Mytilus edulis: one gene and its partner. The protein of the gene in region 1 purifies or fractionates together with the protein of each later gene. This does not show direct contact. Links are inferred from orthologs where the notes say so. Each region holds a gene or a part of one and is shown on either strand. Other genes may lie near its edges.

Evidence for each region.
Region 2: the proteins of trithorax group protein osa-like (region 1) and protein SSXT-like purify together in Homo sapiens (affinity purification with mass spectrometry; 7 studies listed by BioGRID and IntAct, counting the BioPlex papers as one, with this or other methods). This does not show direct contact. The link is inferred for Mytilus edulis from reciprocal best matches to the Homo sapiens genes ARID1A and SS18.

Annotation. Positions count from the first base shown.
Region 1 is NC_092353.1:43,285,167-43,292,409, forward strand, and holds the start of trithorax group protein osa-like, read right to left. Parts: upstream 3,115-7,243; 5' UTR 2,765-3,114; coding exon 2,033-2,764; intron 1-2,032. UniProt on the Homo sapiens protein: Involved in transcriptional activation and repression of select genes by chromatin remodeling (alteration of DNA-nucleosome topology).
Region 2 is NC_092348.1:25,284,252-25,291,669, forward strand, and holds the start of protein SSXT-like, read right to left. Parts: upstream 3,004-7,418; 5' UTR 2,745-3,003; coding exon 2,679-2,744; intron 1-2,678. UniProt on the Homo sapiens protein: Appears to function synergistically with RBM14 as a transcriptional coactivator. Isoform 1 and isoform 2 function in nuclear receptor coactivation. Isoform 1 and isoform 2 function in general transcriptional coactivation.

The DNA.
Region 1 (7,243 bases):
AATCAAACATACGAATATACGGCAGTGTATGGTAATCGAGCCTGAGGAAGCAGATTAAAATCTTAGTTTGTCTTAATATATATATGAATAACATGAATAACATTGCTGTATATACAAATTGACAAGGTTCCCCTCAGTGTAGGATCCAAAAGGGGGTCCCTTTTTATTTACCGATCAGTGCATTTGAATGGGGACACATAGTTTGAACCCCCTTTACCCTGGGTTGGGACCCCCCTTTTTTTTAAATGGCTACATCCGACCGCCCCAGCCCCTTGTGATACGCTATACGCATAAGACTATTTTAAGGATCTACTTTGCTGGAGCTCGCCTTCACTAGTTTGGTCGTAGTATTTTAAAAACAGGTTCTGTTATTTTACTTGCAAGACAAAATAGAAGACAAATCAAAGACGATATAATATCAATGGCTGTAGTCTACATCCATTGGCATTTTTAAAAAGTGCATTTATTATATGTCATTACAAGGAATTCCAGAAATAAAAAAAAAACCTTTTGGCTTTTAGTTAGAGGCTGTGCAGGACACTTTTTTTTTTTTATTATACTTGTTAGGTGTCATTTAATCGCGCTTTTGTTGCATGTTTTCCCCACTTTTTCATGTGCATGTTTTGTTGTATGTTCATTTTAAAAATTATACCCTCTACCGTAAAAAAAGATATATATGGTGAACTCTGTATTTAAAGCACGTCTTATTTTCTCCTACCTATAGGATAATACTCTCATATAAATATGATTTATATCAACACCATTAATCATTTGATACAAAAAAAGTAGTCATACAAATACGGATATTTCTTAGAATTGACGATCATCCTTTAAAAGTTACGGTCATCATTTAGAAATTACGGTCATCCTTTACAAATTACGGTCATCTTTTAACCAATTACGGTCACCCTTGTTTTGAATTGCTGATTCTGTTACGGTCATCTCGATTGTGATTTACGGTCATCTTAGCGATTTTTTTAAATCGAATTTCCCGTTTCATGCACATTTCTCGGAAGTAATTTGTGATTTCCGTGTGAATCTTTTATAAATTTACATCGAATCAATGTCTCCTTTGTAAAGAAAATGATATAGAAACACTGTAACAGACAATACAGATACTGACCTAATTTTTCATCCGACATCTTGGGATGACCGTGAATGCAGTTACGGTCATCAGCTTTACCCCAGTGATAATAAAACATTGTTATCAAGTGAAGGGTTTTACAACTTCAACAATCATCCTTTTACACAAGATTTACCAGCAAAAAAATTGTCAATTGAGGGAAAATCATTTGCCATTTGAAAAATCTTAGCAGAGCAGTATATATACATGTATTCACACAAATAAAATTTACATAATAGTCAAATCAAAAAGATGCACAGAAGATTATTTTAATTAAAAATGAATTTAACACAAGCAACAAACTCTTAAAATATCGGAAAACAAAACTACCAGAACAAAGTCTCAGAAAATTATGAATCTTGTTAAAGTCTTATATAAAAATCAATAATATTTTAATGCATGAAATATCAAATTCCATAAAATTACTCATGCATACAGAAAGGTAAACAATTTCAAAGCATCTGTCAATAATAGATTTACTTTCATTTTCTTGGATGTCATTCAACAATTTAGGGGATTTCCAACATCTATGCTTTTATTATCTACACAAATGAAAATAGATTATCCCAGGACTGAGATTAATTGATTGCTTTATGGTCTTCCCAGCCAATCAGACAAAGGTCACAACAGTCTTGCCTCCAAATTCAAAATTGATTTTTCATTCATGTGATAAAAATGCATGACCAATAAATCCTGGTAATAATGAATGCAATATTTCTTTCTATTTATGTTTTTTATAATTGAGTATAGCTTATCAATAACCGCTTGGAAGAAAAAGTAATTATGAAACTAGATTGATAAGATTATTTACAACTCTGGCGGGCAATACAAACATGATCAATAGATTAGTGTCACATGGCAGTTAATGACTTCCTTTAGTCAAAGTGAAAGTAGATAAATACAACTTACCTGACCCCTATAGGGAGTCCCTGGACCTTGTGGAAAACTGGCTGGTTGTCTATTTCCAGTCCAACCTTGCTGCATGTTATATGGTGTCCCTTGCGCTGTCATTTCGGGTGCCACTTTCTGGTGATATTCACCATAATTATTTCCCTGCATCCTCCCCGGTGTGTTTGGTGTCTGCAGAAGCTGATTTAGTGTTGGTGTTGGTCCAGACTGCTGTGAAATGCTTTGTCCTGACAACATTGATCTTTGTCCTTGTGGATAGGATTGTGGCATTCCTGGACCACCTGGGCCCATTTGTGGCCTCATAGGCATCATGTTCGGTTTGCCTGGATGTCCACTCTTCATTCCAGGCTGCATATACTGAGCCTGAAAAGTATTTTGATTAATAATTTCTGAACTTCCTGCCATTCCGCCATGTTGATCGCCTGGGTTAAAGTTTTCACGATTATACGGATTGTACCCTTGCATTTGCCCTGGATGCATCATTGGGTTCATTCTTCCGTAGTTGTCAACCCCCATCATCTGTTCCCTAGATGATGGAGGATAGTTATTCATATCAACGTTCATGTTAGGCCCTTCAATTTGATTAAAATATTCGCCTTGTTCATTGCTCATGTTTTGTTGGCCTCCATCTTGAAACGAGTCCATTGTGTTTCCCCGTAAATTCTTCGGAGATTTAAGCTTTTTGCTCTTGACTTGTCTAGTATGCCCTTTACCAGGGCCAGCATTTTCCATACTTCACTTACCGAAAAGTTCCTGACCCTCCGGTCGACTCCAGTTGCTTCAGTTTCCTGTCTTTGTTGTATACACAGAAGAGTTTCTTCAGCATAATTCTATTTACCCACCCTTCTAGAGCGAGAAATTGACCGTGACACCTATGAATAATCAACTCACATGTTTCGGGATACTTTTCTTGAATTGCGGTGCGTCCTAATATTGTCAATAAACACGCATGTATCGAACTGAGGCAGATTGCAATAGGGTAAATCTTAGTCAGATGGCAGCATGGTCTTATCAAACAGTGTATTATGTTGTTCTCTTCAATAAGCGGGAATATCGGAAGAGAATAGCGATTCATACGCCTCTATAGGGATCGTGAAAATATTGGTTATGGGTGCTATGTATACTTTAAAAACAATAACAATCATTTCCTGTGTCAAAATATACAATTTGAACACGGAGCATGACTTCTATCAAATTCGGGAATTCTTTTGCGTAAATTGTCCACTGAGCGCAGATATACTAATATTGAGTTGTGAAGCGTCCGAGGCATTTCTTTTCAACACGGCTTGTTCAATTAGCTAATCGTTTCACCTCCCACGTATTGTTTCAAAAAAGTGACAATTTCATAATGGAATGGCTTGATTTTGCATCAAATGTAATTCAAATCCGAATTCAAAATTCAAATAACATCTTTAAAGATTTATTCGAAGCGTTTCTATGGCGTATATATTGTAGAAAACAAAAATTTGACCTTTACTCTGGGGAGATGAACAGAAGAGCATTTGATTGCCTGAAGGCTTTCTATTGACGTCAATCAGACGGGAAAATCTGATATTATTGAGCATGCAAATGTATCTGTTTTCATTTTTTCCTTGACAGTATTGGTGCATAGATCGCATGTAGCAGTTTATTGACTTTGAAAATTTCAAACTAAAGTTAAAATAACGAAGATAAAGTAAAATGTCAGAATTTTCGAACAAAGAATAATTGGTGCAATTTTAGGAGATAAAATCCTATTTGCAATATTTAACCAGGCTGTTCCCGTTATAAAACGTCCACCCTCTGAAATTCTCAAAAATTATTTTGCACGGGAAATAACTCTAGGAAAAATATGTGATCTACCACATGAGAATCATATGACGCTAAGATTTTCTGCCAAAAAATATTGGTTGTATTTAAAAATATTTTTATGAAAAAAGTAAATTAACTCAAATATGTATTCTGGCCAAACGAGAAAAAAACCTCGTATGTAGACATATGTGGTTTAATGTTCAGAATTTAAACAAATTTTGTAAAATTGTAACTGGCTTGTAAATGCAGTTGTAGTGCATACTGGAACCTGCATGTGAATTTGAAATTTAAAAAAAGACTGAAAGACTTTTTTTAAAACTCGACCAACCTTCTGAAAAAAATTGATAGGACAGGAATCAGTATATTAAAATTAATTTCTTCCAATTGAAAGAACTAGTCCAGCTATAAAACATAATTTGGCATTGCATTGAAATATAAGTTGTCATCGAAAAACTTGAAGAACTTGAGAAATCTATTTACTGCATCGGTTCGTGGACACAAGCCTAAACCCTACAAAATGTCATACTTAGAGGAGATTTCAATCTGCCACATCTCAACTAGCAAACAACCCGAATAACCCACAGAATGAAGAAGCTAATCATAATTAAATCTCATATAACTACGACATGAACCAAATAGTAAGTAAACCAACTAAAGGACAAAACACACTAAACCTACTCATGACAACCAATCCACTGAGGACTTATTAGTAAAATCGAAGTAGCAAAGATATGAAAGCCAAACTTCATCAAAAAGAAACCCAGTGTACCTTTTTAAAAAGACCGCTATGATTGGACCCAAAGAAAACTTCCTAGACAATTTTGGGAACTGAATTAACAGCATGGAAGAATACACTGTAGAAGAAAACTGGACATACTTCAAAGAGATCATGTTACAAGCAACTATTTGTATATATAAATAATTCATCATGGGCCTTGGCCCACATATAACTCGGTATAGGTAGAAAACAACATGTGATTTAGATCTCTACACATATCAAAAGACAGACACGAAGCAGACAGCGTAGATACAGTGCTGCTAAAACACAACACCAAGAAAACAAAATGACACAAGTACAAACAGATGAGAGACTTTGTCAAGAAGAGATGAACGAGGCCCACGACAATTATGTTCGATAAATCCTAAATCAAGAGGACGAAGATAACACTTAACCAAACATTGGCAAGAAATTCTGGAAATATATAAAATCAAGCAAAAAGACACAATGGGAATATCATCCCTCCAGAACAACCTCGGAGATCATGACAGCAAAGGAAAACAGAAATATTGAACACTCAATATGATGGTGTCTTCACGACAGAGGATACAAAAAATATACCACATATGGGAACCAGTACAACTCCAAACAATAGGAAGTAACATATCAGATCGGAAAGAGTTGAGAAAAAGTTTAACTTTGACTAATAGACCCAACAAAAGCAAACAGTCTAGATGAACTACCAATCAGAAGCACACTGCGAAATTGCACCGTTCATCACACAAAATTCTATGAACCGTCTTATGACAGTGAAAATGTTTCTGAAGATTTGCGACAAACAAACAAACGCAACCGTTCCTCACACAAAAGTATATGAACCGTCCTATGACAGGGGAAATGTTTCTGGAGATTGGCGACAAACAAATACAACTGTTCATCACACAAAATTCTATGAACCGTCCTATGACAGTGAAAATGTTTCTGAAGATTGACGACAAACAAACACAACCGTTCCCCAAACAAAATTATATGAACAGTCCTATGACAGTGGAAAGTTTCTAAAGATTGTCGACAGGCAAACATCACAGCCATTGACAAACAGGGGAACAGAAGTCAAGCAGTAAACTACCGTCCCGTATCGTTAACCACAATATGTTGTAAATTCATGGAACACATAATCTATATGCACATCATGGAACATCTTGAAGAACATCAAATCTTATCCTACTTCCAACACGGATTCAGACATAACCGATCATGTTAAACCCAACTTATTAACACATAGTAACAGTTGTAAGAGAACTGGACCATCGAGGACAAATAGCATGCTTATTCTTGATTTCTCAAAATCGTTCGATACATTCCCCAACAAAGACTTCTGAAAAAAATGTCACACTAGTGAATAATATATAACACTCTACAATAGATTTCGTCATGGCTAACTCAGCGACACCAGAGAGTATGTCTAGATGGAGAAGCCAGTGAGAACAAATCCGAGTACGATCCGGATTTCTACAGGTCCGGTATTGGAACCACTTTGTTTCCTAATATACACCAACGATAAGACAGAAACAATGTCATTACATCAACCCTCCCTCACCCTCCGTCTCTTTGCTGACGACTTGCTACTACTAATATATAGATCCATTAAAGGTATCGAGGACAACTTACAACTACAACAAGATCTGACAGAACTGACTAAACGGGTGGAGCGGTGGCAAATGACATTCTACCCAGCTATTAAAATGCTACACACTGAGGGTAACAAGAAAAAAAAACCAAACGATAAAAGAGTATGAAATGATGGGACAACAACTATCCACAGTTCACCAATATCCATACCTCGGAGTCGAATTATCAGAAGATCTCAGTTGGGATTCACACATTAAGAACGTTATCACAAAATCCAACCGAGTATTAGGATTCCTAAGACACAAACATCTGGAAGTGTCTACAAGATATCAAAGCGCAGGCATATACATCGCTAGTGCGCCCACATCTTAAATTAAGTACGCCTCTGCAGTATGGGATCCATATCGCGGAATACATCACATTGACTCCCTTGATATGAAAAAAAAGATGACCGACTGCCAGATTTGCGACATCAACATACAGTACCAGGGATAGTTACAAACATCCTGAAAACCCTAGAATGACAAACGCTATAATTTAGACGGAAATCAAGTAGATTGAGCATGTTTTACAAAGCCACACATGGAAAGGCGGCAGTCAACATACCAACATACACGAGAATAAAATTGAGAATGAAAATGAAGAAGGTGTCAAAGGGACAACAACCCGACCATAGAGCAGACAACAGCCGACGTCCACCATGCGATGGGTCTTCAATGCAGCGAGAAACCCCCGCTTCGGAGGCGTCCTTCACCTGGCCCCTAAAAAAATATGTATACTAGTTCAGTGATAATGGACGTCATACTCAACTCCGAATTATACACAAGAAACTAAAATTAATAAGCATACAAGACTAACAAAGGCAAGAGGCTCCTGACTTGGGACAGGCGCAAAAAATGCGGCGGGGTTAAACATGTTTTTTTTTTAGATCTCAAGACCATCTACCTCAATAAAACAATACCATCTAGAACAATTCACTCATATCAGTACCTCCACAGATGCCTACAAATACAGCTATATACAACGCACCATCATCGACTGGCTCTGCCTCTCTGTAATGTGTCAAAGAG
Region 2 (7,418 bases), on another chromosome or scaffold:
ACAGCCATTTGAGAATGAAAAAATATGTACGCTTGAATTTGATTGCCATGCTGATTTTTTTCTTGCACCACTGGAAGGCACAGAGCAACTGATTACACAATACATTTGTAATTGAGATATTTGCAGTGAATGAGACACACAATGAACATGAAGAACCTTGCCTTTCTCCCATTCTCCCTTTCAGACTTTATGCAATTTATTACAAGTTAGCATCAATGATACATGTACATATATCCTTAGCTGTACAGATACAAAATGTACCGAAATTTGCATACAGTTGAACTGTACCAGATCAGTTGCAGGTAAATTAGCACGAAGCTCTCAGTTATCATTGACAGTAACATTATAAGTGAATGTTTGATAATAAAAATATTATTTATACCTGGAATGAGTTTTGTTCTCTTATATCTTAGTTTAATTATTGAAAAAGGATGGAATGATGTGTAGTGATAGTCTAGATATATTGTATACATAAATACTTGTTCTGATTCTCAGTCTGACTGGTCCTTTTCATTTCAGAATAATGGGATGTATGACAGTGTTTTTTTACAGAATGATGTAATTTGGTTTATCCAAAAGCCACACCAAATTAATTGGTTTATATGATTTATAGATGCTTACTGTGGGGGGAAAAACATAACAAACAAAAAACAAACAAAAACATAAAATTGTACGGCTTAAATTGTGATAATGGTGAAATATATTATCATGCCTTTATTATCTTTGTGTCTTTCCAAAGTAAGAAGCCTGTAATTCACTTGTGGTTTGTTGCTGTATATCATATTTGGATTTTTTTTGTACATAAATCGGGCGGTTAGTTTTCTTGTTTGAATTATTAAACCTTTTTCATACATGTAAATAGACCTTGTATAGTTCGCAGTGCAGTATGAATTTTACTCATTGCTAAGAGCCTTATGGTTACCTACAGTTGTTAATGTCTGTATCATTTGGTTTCTTGTGGAGAGTTCAATATTATATTGCATATATATTGTACAGAAAAGAAATGTCATACACTCGCACATCAATATATTAAAAATATCCCATGAACTATTTTCCACTGGACGTTAGGCAACCATCAATTAAATCAGCCTGATCAACAACAAAGGTAGGCGCTTTTTCGTGCAGTTTGTATAAAGTAAAACAAAAAGGTTTTGACTTACAAATCAAGTCAAATAGTTGTAAAACTATTTACACATGTGCATGTCCATTTCAAAACTAAAAGGAGATTTTAACTAGTCCAAAAGTTAAAAAGAAGGGAAACGTGTACATTTCGAAACGTTTAGATATCAATGTGGCATTAAAACTGGTGTATGCTTTGAAGTCAACTTACCAAGCTGACAGAAGTATAACATAGTAAAATGTTTCGTCTTACAAAAATTGTTCATGAAAAGGCAGCAATACCTGCTGCTCTGAGTCTTTATCGTATATTTATCAGTTCCTTACACTTAAAATATGGTTTAATCTCTTTCTATTCGAGGTCAAAAGTGAGACTTATATTGCCATTTTCTATTAAATGATCATTAAATGTAAGTCCTTAATACACAATCCGTGAAAAGGAGAAACCATAAATAAAAATCATAAAAAAAACTCAATGCAAGCTCATAATGTAAATTTTGAAAAAAAACACACTTAGAAAACAATTTACCGACAATCATAGAAAAAAACTTAATACAAGCCCAATTAATAATGAACACAATAAGTATTCAATTTTTAATGATCTATACAAATTATTAATATAAGACGAAGTCGATCATGATTAACGATAAACAAACAAATTATTTTTTTCTACACATTAATTAATTTAATATATTTTGTAAATAGTATTTTCGGAAATAGTGTGGACACCTGTGGTGTAACAACTTCTTGTGTACCAGGTGTCAAATAAAACTCTTCAGTTTTAACAGGTTGTGATTTACCTGAATAATTCAAGCCTAATATACATGTTACACTGTGAAATTATGTCTCCGAGACAGGTGTATATTTAATAGAAACCCATTGTGAAAGTATCAAATAAAATGAACTCTGATACAATTTATTAAGTGTTAATTATTTAATATTGTTTTTTTTTTTTACTTCAATATCAAATTATGTCTCTTTTTCAATAATACAAATAAAAATTAAAAGGACATTGAAATAAATAATTATGAATGTATGAACTCAAATTATTTAATTAATTATGTTAAATTTAACACTGAAACAGTTAATTTATGCTTAAACATTCACCATTACCTCGAGTACTTTTAATACTTTGATAATAACTCTATTACCCAAAGAGATCTCGCGAGGTTTAAATGTGGCCGTGTGATATTACGCGATTTCGCCGAGTTGCCAATCTCTTGTATTATATGTCTCTGAACTCACTACCTGAAGCAATAGGTATGTCAGACACCCTGGAATCCTTCAAAAGTGGCATATCCACTCTAACATTTGAAGGATCCACAGCAACTTATTAAACTTTAAAGCCACTGTACATAATGTATATATGTTATTGATAACGATTTTTCTTGTCATATTATTTTTAAATTAAGTCCATATGTACATAGCACACAAGTTCCGGGAAGTTTTACACTCCTACCTAGGAGTCTACTCCCGTATTCGGAAGAAGAAGAAGGTTACGTGAAACAATGGAAGATTTTTTTTTCTGACAGTTTTTTGTTTTCAAGACTGTCACGGCTTACCTTTTGAATTTGTGCTTGATTGGGTTGACCTTTCTTCTGCTGCGGTTGAACAAATGCTAGTGACATGATAATTATACCAAAAAGAGAGGTCAGGGAGCTTTGTCAATTTTTTCCTTAAAATTTTTAACCGCGTCAAACTGGTCCGCAGTAAATAGAAATCTAAAAGTAATTTTAGGAAGCCAAGACGGGATTATTTCGAAAAGAAATTCCGTAAATCTATAATACTAAAATTACGAGGTCCAATTTGTCAGCCGTCATCACGTAAAAACGACGAATCAAAGAATTCAACTTTATATAACTTATATAGTACAAAGGTGTAGATTAATGGTCAGAAACATTCCCAGTAAATTCACATTTCTTAATATTGATTCCTTAAAAGTTTCTTGAAAGAGTATATAGTCAATTGCAGTACAATCACTCCCATTAGCGCTAATGAATGTTTTTCCAATATCTTTTGTACTTAGACAGTGTTCGTCTATAAATGACACTATATATTTCTGTCTTATCGAATCATTGGATCCAAAGATTTCCTCATTAAAGTCACCACCTATTATTATTTGGTGTGTTAGTTCATAGGTTGTCAATATTTCATTCAATAGATCTATACATTCTTGAAATTCTGTTTGACTATTTGTTGAACCTTTACAAGGTAAATATACAGAAATGACTATTAAATTTGGGTCACCTTTGATCTCACTGCATTGTATTCGATTATTCCCTATATTGACAGTGGAGTGACTATGGAGTCAAGATTTTTCTTCCAAAGTATAGCCGTCCCACCATAGCCTCTTGGCATTCTCCATGGAGTAATTGGGTCACTGGAGTCTACTGCTTTACCAACACCCTTATAATCTAGCAGAATGTCATTCAACATCTTTAACTGACAGTGGAAGAGCCAGTGTTCTTGAAGTAGATAAATGTCAATAGAGTCTTTTAATTCATCAAATAGTGGACCACAGGTTAAAATGTTTTTACAGTTAAAATTTATAATCTTTAATACATATTTACAGTTTTTAGCCTTCTCTCCTATGGGTCTAGGTTTTATTGTTATATTTTTGGACGGACGAGGCTGTGTTGGTATAAAAAATGCATGTCACTATTGTTTATTTCATAGCTTATGGGTTCACCTTCGAGGGAGATGTGGAACCAGTTGGGATCACTTTTTCCTATACTCTGTTGATTGTTAACCACTTCTTTATCATTCCTGTATGATTCATTTGAGTGTGAAAGTTTGGTGTTGTTAACTTTCTTTTGTTCAGTTGGAAGTATTTCAATTAAGTTTTCTTTACATATGTTTCTATCATCGTTGAGGTCAGGGTGAAAGTTAACTGAGTGATTAATTTCTATATCTTGTTCCCTGTTTTGAATGTAATCATATTGGTAGTAAGCATTTGAGTATTGATGACTTGGTAGCACATGAGATGTATTGTGAAAAACAGGTTGGTCATAAGATGAAAATTGATGATTTGGTCGTTGAGTTGTAACGTATGGTTGATTTGAATGCTGATTTGGAGAGTATTGATGTGGTTGCATAAATGATTTTTGCTGATGAAACGATTGTTGACTTGGATCAAACTGTTCAGAATTCGAGGATCTATTACAGCGGTTGTTGAGAAGTTTGTTGAGTTCTTCATCTACTTTACCAAGTACATAGTTGGTGACTAATTCATCGGATCGGGAATGAAACGTGAAATATATACGGAAATTATCGATAATATAGGGATTTCGTGTAGAACGAGTGAAGAGTATGAAAAATAATATTTTCAAATTGTATTTATTAAATAATGATACATAATAAACATTGCAAAAATTAAATGCACAATGATGGAAAATGAAACTGTACATTCCCTGTAAAAGAAAACATGATAGAAATTAATACTATTATAAAATTTAAATGAAAATTTTAAGAATAAAATTTTAATAATTTAAAAAAATACCCATATGATATTTTAAGATAATCTTTTAGTAAAATGTAAAACAGAAACTGAAATTTTAAAATATATAAAAATTCTAAAATTTAAGCTTGAGTTTATAAAAATTAAAGAAGCAAGTAATGATATCAATTTAAACCAATTATAAAAGATTCATGTAACTAATTAAGGTTTTGTCCATCTTTAGTTACGCCAAGTTTAATGTGGAACTGAGGACATTCCATTTGGAAAGTACCGAAATTAGACATATCCTTAATATCACGAACGATTTACAATACAAAAACTATAAGTAATCGACATTATAAAAAAACTTAAATGAAAGGCGTGGCAAATTCGATTAAAAACTACAATTTAAAACAACAAATACCTTGTATTAGGCCTTTTTTCTTGTCGAATTTGTTTGGAATTGCTTCCCACCATGAATGCAGGAAAAATTTATTCTGTTGTACTTTAAATCTTTAAATTTTGTGCTCCGGGTTCTTCTTTCTTTTCTCTGCGGCTTCTATAAATTCTTATATACAATTGTATGAAATATATATGTGTATATTTATGAAAATTCTGAGTAGTTTTAATCAATTTATTCACTAATTGCAACAAATTCCGTATATATTTCACGTTTCATTCCCGATCCGACGGCATTTTATTATAAAACCAGATGTGGGTACGCCTTAAAAATTACATCACTCCAGGCCCTTTTGTTTTCCACGTAATTAAATATTGCCAATAATTAAGAAGTTCCGGGTTGAGTCCGATACCGATACCAATAGTATATTCACCTGTTACCTATTACCTTATTTGTACGTTCCGCATCTGACAGGCGCACCACCAAACGGTGTATTCAGGATTAATATGCTATATACACGGGTCATATTCACAGGGTTGACACTACTAGATTGTCAAATTGTTACCTATTGTAGCATTTTAATCAGTAAAACTTTCTAAGATAACAATACAAATACTAAAAATCTGGACTAAAATAAGGCGTATAGGTACGGCAGTTTTCAATTTGTTAGCGGGCATGACGTAAAACAGCGAATCAAAGAATTCAACTTTATAACTAATATAGGACAATGCTGTTGATTTAAAAATATTCCATTCCAGGACCTTTTGTTTTCCAACTAATTAATACTACCAATAATTGATAAGTTCGAGTTCGACGGATTCAAACAGAAAGATTTGAAAGCAGAGAAAACTGCGTATCTTATAATCGGCATGACATTATCAGATGACAATACTAATATTAAAATAAGGCTTGCGCATAGTTATATACTTTAATTGAGTCACGGACCCGCGATATCACGGGTGTGTTCTAGTGTTTCTAGAGAATCCCCATGGATCCGCCAATGGGAGGGGTGTTATAAAACACACAGATATTTAAAAAAGGATATTTGATACATAGAAAAAAAATACACTTTTTATACTTTGAGGACTGAGCGAACCAGGTGAGTGTGTGAGTTGGTATGTTTTATTTTGTTATATTGTATTATGTTTAGGGAAGGTTAACTTTCTGGTAATAAGACCCGTCACGGCCTGGCTGGGGAATTGGGTAGGCAAATGCTCATATTAATCTGTACCGATACAGGCTCCAAATGCTTTCTTTATACGCCATAACTCATGGTGGTGATCCTTATAAAGGATGCTTATACGGAGACAAGAAGAAGAAGAAGAAGTTAATATCCCCGAATGCTAAAAAAATATTATTCTTTCCAGGACTAAATTACGCACCTCAAATTTATTTCCAAATATTTTTTTTGTATTTGTCTTTGTATTTATATATATAGGCCACGCTGCGCGCGCAAACAGTAAATAATTTTCAGATCATTGAAGGACTACTGAAAACCTAAAGAAAGAAAGAATGAAAGAAAAAAAGGACACCGGGAACAAAAATTTGTTCCCTATAAGTGGACAACTCGAACGTATATAGTCCAAAAATAAACATCACTGATGTTCAAAAGGTGTGTGTCTTTGCCTTTCTATTGTTTTGTACTGTACATCAACATTAATGAAAACTAACAAAAAGGCTATAAAAGTTTTTTCAGGGGATTTTTAGGTACATTGATATGAACGTTACAAATCCAAAAAAAAAAAGGGGGGGGGGGACTCATGTTGGATAGAATGCATTCCAAAGAGCTTGAGAATCGGTATATTCTAAGAAGTTACCGTGAAAATACATAAATAATCATGACTGAGTCTCAAGTTAACTTTGATTTCAATCAAAAAAAAAAAATGAAATAAAAAAAATTATTACAGATAGAAATATGTAACGTAAAAGTTCGATAACAGTATTTCTCGGGAAATCGTGGTACCAATGGAAAGCCGCCGAATACAGCAATGCGTGTTTGCAAGATGTATAGACCATTAAGAATTCAAGTTTAAACGGATTGGTATTCTTAAAATTCATTAGGTAAAAAAGTGTTGGAAAAAGGGGGGGGGGGGTAATTAAGTTGTTGCAGTAGATTTACATTGTCCTATGCTATACCTTGCACCACTGAGATATATATTTTTTAAAGAGATTTAAACAGTTTATGTTCTTTACCGGATTATCTGACCACCCAATATTGAAACCCCATTATTTACTGACTTTTTTGTCAATCAAAGGTTTTATATAATTTCATTATTTTCTAATACTGTGTCGAATAAAATCATGCATGGGTCACCGATGCTGTATTAAAATTCGAATGTCGTCAGGGGCGTAGCTAGAATGACACGATGTGCAAGGAACTACCAGCGAGCGGAGCGAGGCGAAAAATGTTTCGGACATTTTTATGCAGAAAAATGTTGTTTTTCTTTTTGGTTTTACGGTCATAGG